3 linked regions of the Callithrix jacchus genome follow. The protein of the gene in region 1 purifies or fractionates together with the protein of each later gene. This does not show direct contact. Links are inferred from orthologs where the notes say so. Each region holds a gene or a part of one and is shown in the gene's direction. Other genes may lie near its edges. The genes, in order: PRKAR1A, VAPA and VAPB.

What was found.
Region 2: the proteins of PRKAR1A (region 1) and VAPA purify together in Homo sapiens (affinity purification with mass spectrometry; 3 studies listed by BioGRID and IntAct, with this or other methods). This does not show direct contact. The link is inferred for Callithrix jacchus from reciprocal best matches to the Homo sapiens genes PRKAR1A and VAPA.
Region 3: the proteins of PRKAR1A (region 1) and VAPB purify together in Homo sapiens (affinity purification with mass spectrometry; 3 studies listed by BioGRID and IntAct, counting the BioPlex papers as one, with this or other methods). This does not show direct contact. The link is inferred for Callithrix jacchus from reciprocal best matches to the Homo sapiens genes PRKAR1A and VAPB.

What each region holds. Positions count from the first base shown.
Region 1 is NC_133506.1:124,593,683-124,597,337, forward strand, and holds part of PRKAR1A (cAMP-dependent protein kinase type I-alpha regulatory subunit), read left to right. Parts: intron 1-653; 5' UTR 654-659; coding exon 660-836; intron 837-3,655. UniProt on the Homo sapiens protein: Regulatory subunit of the cAMP-dependent protein kinases involved in cAMP signaling in cells.
Region 2 is NC_133514.1:52,977,547-52,981,201, reverse strand, and holds part of VAPA (vesicle-associated membrane protein-associated protein A), read left to right. Parts: intron 1-1,201; coding exon 1,202-1,339; intron 1,340-3,655. UniProt on the Homo sapiens protein: Endoplasmic reticulum (ER)-anchored protein that mediates the formation of contact sites between the ER and endosomes via interaction with FFAT motif-containing proteins such as STARD3 or WDR44.
Region 3 is NC_133506.1:54,024,906-54,028,560, forward strand, and holds part of VAPB (vesicle-associated membrane protein-associated protein B/C), read left to right. Parts: intron 1-1,085; coding exon 1,086-1,166; intron 1,167-3,047; coding exon 3,048-3,224; intron 3,225-3,655. UniProt on the Homo sapiens protein: Endoplasmic reticulum (ER)-anchored protein that mediates the formation of contact sites between the ER and endosomes via interaction with FFAT motif-containing proteins such as STARD3 or WDR44.

The sequences.
Region 1 (3,655 bases):
TACCACTAGTGTAGTAGTATTTAAGGGTGGAATCTGGCAACAGATTGTGGAATAAAAGGTTGCTTTTAAAACTCATCTGAATTTTCTTGTGTATTTTTTTAAAATTTTGATTACGCTAGTAATTGGCTAATCAGATTCTCACTCCAGTGGTTTGCTCTGTGACATTAGGACACTCCCATTGGATAGAAGTTACATATGGAGAATGTTCGATGTTCTTCATTGTGTTTACTTGCTTTCACTTAGAGTTGACTTGTGTGCCCTTGTAATTCTCTGTTCTGTTTACATACTTCCCACATCATCATGATTTCTTTTGCAAGGGAGAACTGAATGAAATTCCCTTAAGGGCCTGACTTCAGCACCCGCCTCTGCAGAGGATAGTGGCTCATACTTCCTCCCAGGAGCTGAGGTTATTGACTCTCACTGCTGTATACAGAGCACAGGTCCTGCAGCAGTAACCAAATGAAACATTTGCTTGGAATAATGCTAATTCTGTACATATTTTGTTCCTTAGTCCCCACCTCCTTGTTTAAAAACAAAATCTATGTAGAAAAAAATCCCTATGAATCAGATGCCTAATGAATGTAGCAAGTCAAATGCCAGACTGGCATTTTGCTTTATAGTTTATACAAGCATATGTGTGTGTTTTCTCTCAGAGAACCATGGAGTCTGGCAGTACTGCCGCCAGCGAGGAGGCACGCAGCCTTCGAGAATGTGAGCTCTACGTCCAGAAGCACAATATTCAAGCACTGCTCAAAGATTCTATTGTGCAGTTGTGCACTGCTCGACCCGAGAGACCCATGGCTTTCCTCAGGGAATACTTTGAGAGGTTGGAGAAGGTAAAAATAAATGTGGGGAGATGATGAGATGATTGTGACCACTGTTACATTTAATAACTGTAAAATTATTAATTAGTAGATTTATCAGAAAATGAACCTGTATGCTAACTGTAGTTGGGTAACGAAGGGTTTCCAAACAGTTCTTTGTAACTTTTAAAATTAATGTATAAAACTAATCAGAAGTAGTCTAGCAGTGCTATGAATAGGAAATTCTATAGTAATTGAAAATAGTTAATACTTCTCCCTTTTTGAACAAAGCAGGTAAGGGTAATAAATCTTACCCTGTTTTTAAAACTAGTATAAGGAAACATTTGAATCTAGCTTGTGACTGATGTATCAGAAATTTTCAATTATATTAAGTCCATTTTAATATAGAATATATCTCTGATGAATTACTATATAGATAGTGAGATTAATGGTCCTCAAAAATTTTACTCCATATTATTGGTCATGACTTGTTTCCCCTTGAAAAAAATTAATCCAGTTTTTATTCTTTGCTGCTCTTTCTCCTTGCATGTAGGTCAGTTGTGACTCACATATGTGGCGTATGCTTTTCTAATTTTCTAAGTAAAATGATAATTTTACATCAAGGACAGTGCTTCAATTCATTTCCCTCAAGAAATGATGAATTAAAATGTCTGGATCACCAAATGTTTTGAATAGTTTATGTGATTTGCTTCTGTAAATCAGTGGGATAAACTTACAGATTTTCTTGTGGATGTGGGAGTTTTGAGGTGGTTCAAAATGATTTTGAATCAACAGAGACATTTCTTTGATATATGATTATCTAATTGTATAATAGAAATATTTGTATTGTTTTCCATTGGTTTTTACAGTTTCTTATCAGCATAGTTTATTAGTAAAAAAATCTGTACTAAGATTTAAAAAGTATTTGGGTAGCTCAATGATCAGGTTATTCTATTTTCTTTAAAAACTGATTGTTAAAATTTGTGTTTAGTACCATGATCAGAATAATTAAAAAAAAGAACAACTAGTCACTGTGAATGTTGCTTTGCTGTCTTGGAATTATAATAGATACTCTGGCTTTCTTTTATATATGCAATTTCCAAATAATGGAAATATTGTAGAGCTAAGCCATAGTCGTACCTTGTTTTGAAATCAAGTGCGTTCCTGGAGATCTGGTTTTGAAATGGGTCACTGTAAGGTGATCCCTCTTCTTTGGACATCAATAGAAACCATCAAATGAGAGGATTAAGTTGGTGAGACATTAAGTGTGTATCTTTTTATAGGGAGTGTTGAATGTGTGGTGCTAGTTTCAAAGCTTGTAGTTGCCACAGTACTGTTAAAAACTACAAAGGTAGGAAAGCAATAAATAATTATTAAAATGGTTTCTTTGCAGATGGGATTTTTAGATTTAATGTGTGTTGGTTTTTTTACCTTTTAATAATTAAAGTTACAGTTCCACATGCTTTTTACTATAATTCAAGGGTCTTTGTTGACATGTGTATATTCCTTTAGCCAGGGTTGAATATAGATACCTGTACCTTTAGGTAACTAGATTTTCAACTTTTTAACAGGTTATTGTTTTATTTATTAAGTGTTAATTTGTATGTTAGTCTATTAGTCCTATCCCATGCTGCTACTAAAGACATACTGAGGCTGGGTAATTTATAAAGGAAAGAGGTGTAATTGACTCACAATTCAGCGTGGCTGGGGAGCCTTGGGAAGCTTACAATCTTGGCAGAAGAGGTAGCAAAAACATCCTGTTTACAGGGCAACAGCAAGGAGATGTGCTGAGTGAAATGGGGAAAAGTCCCTTATAATGCCATCAGATCTCATGAGGACTCACTATCATGAGAACAGCATGAGGGTAACCCCCCCACCATGATTCAGTTACCTCCATGGGGTCTTTCACAACACATAGGGATAATGGGAACTACTATTCGAGATGAGATTTATGTGTGGACACGTCCAAACCATATCATTCTACCACGGCCCCTCCCAAATCTTATGTCTTCACATTTGAAAACACAATCATGCCTTTTCATCAGTCCCTCAAAGTCTTAATTCATTCCAGCATTAACTCAAAAGTTCAAGTCCAGAGTTTCATCTGAGACAAGGCAAGTCCTTTCCACCTATGAGCCTATAAAATCAAAAGCAAGTTAGATACTTCCTGGGGGCATTAGATACACTCATTTCAAATGGGAGAAGTTGGCTAAAACAGAGGGGCTATAGACCCCATGCAAATCTGAAATCCATCGAGGCAGTAATTAAATCTTAAAGTTCCAAAATGAACTCCATTGACTCTTTGTCTCACATCCAGGGTACACTGATGCAAGAGGTGGTCTCCCATGCCTTGAGCAGCTCCACCACTGTGGCTTTGCAGGGTACAGCCACCCTTCTGGGCTGCCATTGAGTGTCTGCAGCTTTTCCAAGGGTATGGTGCAAGCTGTTGGTGGATCTACCATTCTGGAATCTGAAGGATCGTGGCCCTCTTCTCAAGCTTCATTAGGAAATGCCCCAGTGGAGACTTGTGTAGGGGCACCAACCCCACATTTCCCTTCTGCACTGCCCTAGCAGAGGTTCTCTCATGAGGGCCACGCCCCTGCAGCAGACTTTTGCCTGGACATCCATACATACATCCTCTGAAATCTAGGTGGATGTTCCGAAACCTCAGTTCTTGACTTGTGTGCACCCGCAGGCCTGGCACCATGTGTAAGCTGCCAAGGCTTGGGGCTTGCACCCTCTGAAACAATGGCCAGAGCTATATCTTGGGCCATTTTAGCCAAGACTGGAGCTGAAGCATCTGGGATGCAGGGTACAGGAGTCCCTGAGCATGGCCCAGGAAACCATTTTTC
Region 2 (3,655 bases), on another chromosome or scaffold:
AGGGAACAGCAGGTGTGTGCCAGTACATTTCATTTCATTAATGGCCCCTACTGTCTTCACTTGAGTTGTTGTCAGTGCTAGTACTGAAAGCCATTCAGCATGTTCCCTGTATTGTTGACAGCTGGAGGCACATGATACTAAAGTACTGACTATTGTAAAAAATAGGGTTCTTTGACTTATTAGCTCTGTTTGGAAATTGACAACTCTGTATTATTAAATACCTAATGTCCAACTAGTGGTAGTGGTTGTTTTTTAAGGAGTGAATGTGGTTTGTTATTTTTGAAGTTTTATGATCTATTCAGTTGTGTTCAATTCTAAAGAAATTTTGAGATATTTTCTAAATTTCTTAACTCTGACATTTTCTAAATTTCTTAAATGTATTGCATTTCATTTATGTCCTCCATATGACATTTGATGGTGACATATTTTCTAGGAAAAAAATGCCAGTTTTTTTTTAATGAAGACTGAAGGAACTGTAAAGAACAGGGATTTCAGGGGTCTTACTACTATAAAGACATTTTATGGTTGAATATACTTTATTTTCTGTTGAGACAGAACAAATGGGATATGAGTAAGTATAATTAGGGAAATCTCTTTCCCACCGGTTTGTAGAATACAGTATTACTTTTACCTATTAAAGGCATTTGAGAAGAAAAGAAGAGAACTATGGAGTTAGTGGTTGTGTGAATCTTTAAGTGTGTTTGTTGGCCTGGGACGTGTGTGAGAGAGTGTTTGTATTGGGGATAGGCTTTAAATACAAGAGAGGTTTATTAAAAAATGTTCAGATTGAGTGTTATCAAAGGTAAGAAGACATGAAAGTGCTTATTTTTCAGATCATTGACAATTACTAATTAGAAAAAAACATGAAGAGTCACAAAGGATTAGATGGTATTCATTTTAAAACAACATAAAGCTGGCATAAATTTTAATAAAATATGTACCTTTAATAAGTCTACATAATGCAATAGATTAAAACTGATTTTGTTTGGGAAATATATAAAAAGCGAGTTCAGAAACTTTGTACTTTTTGCCTTAACATAGCTATTACTTGCTAGTATTGTTTCTTATGCATTAATGCATTTTTAAAGAGTAAAGTGTTAATGTTTTAGAACCTAATGCTTTCTGTGTCAGTCATTCCCAATATGCAGAAGAAATCAGAGTTCGGTGAGAATCTGAGAATATGTTTCCCATGCCATCTCAGGGTGTAACTCCACCAGGGACTGCTCCGACTGTCACTTCAATGAGCAGCATCAACAACAACACAGTTGCCACACCTGCCAGTTATCACACGAAGGATGACCCCAGGGGACTCAGTGTGTTCAAACAGGAGAAACAGAAGGTTTGTTATAGGGAGCTAACAGACTTAGGAGTCTACTAGTAATAATGATTAAGTTAATGTAGATATCTAGCTGATAAGAGGTATTGTGAGTGTGTTATATGAAGTAGAGGGAATTGAACTATGCCTGAAATTAACAGTGAAACTACAAAGCACTTAAAAATCATGCACACAAACTATTCTGTTCTAAAAAACTTCTGAACTTACTAAAATCTCAATAGTGAGCAGGACAATATAAATGTAAACATTATGAAGTTGGTGTAATTTTTTTCTTTGAGATTTGGGGAGCATATTCTTTTTTTCTTTTGAGATGGAGTCTTTCTCTGTCACCCAGGCCGGAGTGCATGGCACAGTTTTGGCTCACTGCAACCTCTTGTCTTCTTGGTTCAAGCGATTCTCCCACCTCAGCTTCTTGAGTAGCTGGGATTACAGGGATTTGCCACCATGCCTGGCTAATCTTTTTTTTTTTTGGTAGAGATGGGGTTTCACCATGTTGGTCAGGCTGGTCTCAAATTCCTGACCTTAGGTGATCCACCTGCCTCGGTCCCTCAAATTGTGGGATTACAGGCATGAGCCACCACACACAGCCAGCCCCACCGTTTTAACAGATTGTTTATACCTTGATTTGGTTTTGCAGATGATATGCATACGAAGGCTTTAAAAAAATTATCCTTTATCTAAACGTTTAATACTTTTTTGTTTTTGTGATTTGGGAATTATTTACTTTTGGGAATCATGATCCTAGAGAAACGGTAAATTAGTTGTTAAGAGTGGGGAAAAAAATTTTCAGGTGGCCTTGTTCTTGTTATTTACATCCTGTCTCTTAATTCATACGTTAAGACCTTAATTCTGCCTCTGATAGTTTATGACAGTACTCTTGACTTTAGCCTCTTAACTTCTTTAGTCCATTTTTATCCATCTCTCCTGTTGTTAAGAATGTAGCCTCACATTTATGTCCTTTATCTCCTTTGTTCTTCCCATGGCCTCTTTGCAAACTTTTCCATATATTTCCAATTCCTAGTTTCCTCTTTTTCTGTTTAACCGCCAGTAGGAATACTTGGAATATTAGAACTGAAATTCTGATGGTTAAGAAAGAATACACAAGTATGGTTATGCATCTCTTAAGGATCTATATTGAGAAATGTGTATGGTGATTTAGTTGTGTGAACATCATTGAATGTACTTACACAAATCTATATATGATATAGCCTGTTGCTCCTAGGCTACAGACTTGTATAGCATGTGGCTATACTACAATCCTAAGTATTCTTCCAGCTAAACAATCTACACCAAGCTTGTTCAGCCTGCAGCCTGATGCCCGCATGTGGCCCAGGATGGCTTTCAATCCAGCCCAACACAAATTTGTAAACTTTCTTAAAAATATTTTGAGTTTTTTTTTTTAAATAGCTCATTAGCTCTTGTTAGTGCTAGTGTGTTTTGTGTGTGGCCCAAGACAATTCTTCCAGTGAGGCCCAGGGAAGCCAGAAGATTGGACACCCATGACTACACACAGAAAAGTTGCAGCAAAAAGATGGCAGAAGAGATAAAAACCTACATGCCTGTATAGGGCACGTAGTATGAATGGATTTTCTAGAACTGGAAGTTGTCCTGGGTGGGTCAGCGAATGAGTGGTGAGTGAATGGGAAGACCTAGTACACTTAGGTTGTGTTTATTAAAATTGTTTTCTTTAATTTTAGCTTTCCGTAACTACTTCATAAACTCTAAAATTAAAATTTTGACTTATAATTTAAAGCATAAGCACAGTGTATACATAGATTAAAATATCTTTTTTATGTCCTTACTAGCTTTCTTTTTTTAAAATGAGATTATTTTCAAAAACTTTGTATGTTAAAACCAAGACACAAGCACACATATTAGCCTGTACACAGGGGCGGATTCATCAGTATCACTGTCTTCCACCTCTACATCCTGTCTCATTGGAAAGTCTTCAGGGGCAGTTAGGCGCATGGAGCTGTCATCTCCTATAACAGTGCCTTCTAGAATACTTCCTGAAGGACCTATTAGAGTCCAACTTAGAGTTAACTTTTTGTTTTCATAAGTAGAAGAAATATACTCTAAAATGCATAATAAAAAGCATAGCAAATACATAAACCTGTAATGTAGTTTATTACCAAATATTCTGTATTGTACAAAAATCGTATGTGTACGATTTATAACTGGAGTACAGTATGTATATTTACACCGGCATAACCACAAACGTGAATAATGTATTGTGCTGTAACCTCACTAGGTAATAGGATTTTTTCAGTGCCATTATAATTGTGTGGGAACACTATCATATGTTTGGATCATTGTTGA
Region 3 (3,655 bases), about 71 Mb from region 1:
ATTCCCCACTTTTGGTTCTTGGTACCTGTGTTACACTAGCTGCCTCTTGCATAGTTTTGGGAAGGGTTGGAGGCACGGAGGGTGGGAATTGCCTTCTTTTTCTGTATCATAACCTTGCTGCTATGCTGGTCTATAATCCTAGAATACCCTGAAATTCCCATCCTCTGCTGCCAAGAGGAGAAGTAATCAGGAGCACATCCTCTTAGAACATGGAATTTAGCTAGGAAGATGCTCTCACTACAGCCTGGAGAGGTGGAGATGGGCCTTGGGGTAGATACAGCCCAGACACTGCCACAGTGTCAGAGGAGGAATTTGGTAATGATTGCGTTTTGTTGGAGGTTGGCAGAGTGGTTCTAAAACCACTCTCAGATAGTATGTGCTTACACTTTCTAAGAAGGATATGCATTTAAATTTTATTTATTATTTTTGAGACAGAGTCTCTCAATGTTGTCTGGTCTGGAGTACAGTGGTATGATCCTGGCTCACTGCAGCCTCTACCTCCTGGGCCCAAGCAATCCTCCCACCTCAGCCTCCTGAGTAGCTGGGACCACAGGCATGTGCCACCATGCTTAGCTAATGTTTTAATTTTTTTGTAGAGACGGCATCTCCGTACGTTGCCCAGACTGGTCTCAAACTGCTGGGCTCAATCAGTCCTCAGTCCTCCCACCTCAGCCTCTCAGAGTGCTGGGATTAGAGGCATAAGCCACCATGCCCAATCTAAAATAAGTTGTATTTTCATATGGAGAACTAAGGTTACCTGTGGTCAGCCAGACATTATTTAGAGGATTCCTTTCAGTTCAGTGGTTGGCCTCTCCCACAGAGTAGCAACATGGGGAGCGTTGGTTGACTTTGAGGAGTCAGGCAGCAAGTCTTCAGGGTTTGTGAAGTGTAATAAATATTCAAGAAGGCAAGTGTATTTACTCTTGTCATGTTACAAATATTGAAATCTCAGCAGACTTTAGTTCTTTATTTGATATACATTGGGGTTTTCTCATTAAGAGTATTTTTCTGAAATTGTCATAGGAAGAAAATTATTCTTCTAGCAGCTTTATAATATCTTGATTATTAAATTTAAATTGTTTTAGTGGAAGGAGGCAAAACCAGAAGACCTTATGGATTCAAAACTTAGATGTGTGTTTGAATTGCCAGCAGAGAATGATAAACCAGTAAGTATGTTTATAGTTAACAATAATTGAATGTTGCAAGCTGATACTTATTTGCATACCATCTCCTGCAAAAAACAAGATTTAAGTTGGCAAATTATTTTCCTTTCTCTGATGTCTGAAGAAAAAAATAAGCTGAAGTCAACAAATAAGTGGGCCTTTAGGAAATCAACCTTTGAAAAACTCGCAGAAAGACAACTGATTGACGCAGTGTTTCCCCTTGAAAAGTGCAGCCCAATGTCCATTGCGATGTCATAAATCCCAAAGAGCTTTTGTGGCCCGGCAAAGGTATAGGTTGCTGTTAAACAGTGGGTGAAGTCAAACAGGGAATAATTTGCCCTTTATTATGGTGCTTGATAGACAGGTGGGAAGCTCTCAGGTTCTCTTGTTCTACAGAGTGCCTTGTCAGCCTCCCTACCCCTTTTACCCTATCTATGTCTTCAGTCAAAGATTGTTTTTAGGTGAGGATCAATCTCAGCACTGTTGACAGTTGGGGTGGATAATTCTTGGTGTTGGAGGTTGCCCTGTGTACTGCAAGGTCTCTTAATAATAGCAGCATCCCTGGCTTCTGCCCTTTGGGTACCGGTAGTACTCCCAAGTTGTGACAGCTAAAAATGTCTCCAGATGTTACCACACGTGTCCTGGAGGTCAATATCAACCCCCCATTGAGAATGATCCCACTCCTGTGTTGCCTACCTGGGAGAAGGCAGGAGCCCCATCCTCTAGGCTGTCTGCTCATGGTCTCTTTCATGGTCCTCACTTGTGACCAGTTGAAGAAAGGAGACTGTAACTGAAATGCTCATTTGGGCTTCCCTTCAGCATAGTCAGAAACATTTTAATTGTCATAAAAACACCAAAACTGAAAACATGCAGCATATGAAACTACCCTAGAGGTTAATAGCTGGAGTTGGGAATAGCAGTGTCCCAAAACGTTCTGTTAACATCATCCATGTTGATCTGCAGGGATGTTGTTGATTTGTGTCAAACTACCTGGTATTTTCTTTCTGCTCAGTCACTTACCACTATCATTACCCTGTTTCTTTAAGTGGTCATTTTTCCCTCTTCCCAGTGTACAGCCTGTCACAGGAAGGTCAGTTTGGAAGTTGTGAAACCTGTATTCTGGCCTCAGCTCTGTGATAGGTTGACTCTGTAGCCTGGGACCTTGCCTTACAGGGCCCACTCTTCTCATCTGGAAAATGATGGGTAGAGCTAGATTCCTGGTTTTCAGTTTGCTACCCAGGTCAGTGATCCTTAGTTACTCTTTCCCTGACAAATTTCATGTTCCCATGCCCTCCCTCTACTGACTGGCTCTCATCCCAGTAAATCTCAAGAAGGGGCTCATAGCTCAGTCTTGGCAGGGGACATGAGGGGAGTATGTAGCTTCTCAAGATTGAAACACTGCAGACACTGAGCTTGTTTCATCTTCATCCCAGCTTCCAAATGCTAAGTTGGTAAAATAAATCGCCCTCGGCGTAAATGCTCTCCCAAGCCTCCTATCCCCACCAAGGCAATCTTAGGGATGTTCACATCTTTATGGTGACAGTAATTTGTGGCTAATAATTCCTGAGCTTGCACAATTACAGTATGCTAAGTTTTGCATGACAGGAATTTGATAGTGCAACATACACAGCCCCTTTTCTCTTTCTTTGAAGTATTAGTCTCAGCCGAACTTCATTATTTTCTCTTATCCATAATTTCTAGAGCCCAGTTGCTTTAGATTATTAAGATACTAGATAAAGTGATCCATTTGAAAAGTAAATGTGACATTTTACAATGTGGATAAAATGCTACTACATTTGGTGTTTGCTGAGAACTACTTTGCATAAAAAAGTCTCCTTTATTACATGGTTGGTGACACTTAGGCTTTCATTTATTTTTTAACAGCATGATGTAGAAATAAATAAAATTATATCCACAACTGCATCAAAGACAGAAACACCAACAGTGTCTAAGTCTCTGAGTTCTTCTTTGGATGACGCCGAAGTTAAGAAGGTTATGGAAGAATGTAAGAGGCTGCAAGGTGAAGTTCAGAGGCTACGGGAGGAGAACAAGCAGTTCAAGGTAATAGTTTATTTTCTGGTAAGCTACAGAGAACAAGGGCGTTTTCACTAGGATCTTGGATGAGGAAGTTGATGAACCAGTAAATATATAGATTTATTTTTGCTTTTGGCATTTGTCTATCTTTTTTCTCCCCGGGAAGAAATTTCCATAGCTTTCATCAGATTCTCAAAAGGGTCCTTGGATCTGCCTAAATTAAGAGCCACTGTCCCTTGATCAGCAGTTCTCAACTGTTTAAGCCCTTGTCCCCTTTAAAAAAAAAAAACAAAAATCTCACACTCTCCATTAGTGTAAATTGAAAATAAATGTTGAGACCAAAATAGCAGTTTTTATTTTGAATATGCATTTTTAAACCCCATGCCATCCCCATTCACTTGAGTGAGAATTTCTTTTTTTCAGAGGGTAAATACTGACCTATACTCTGTTTTAATGCA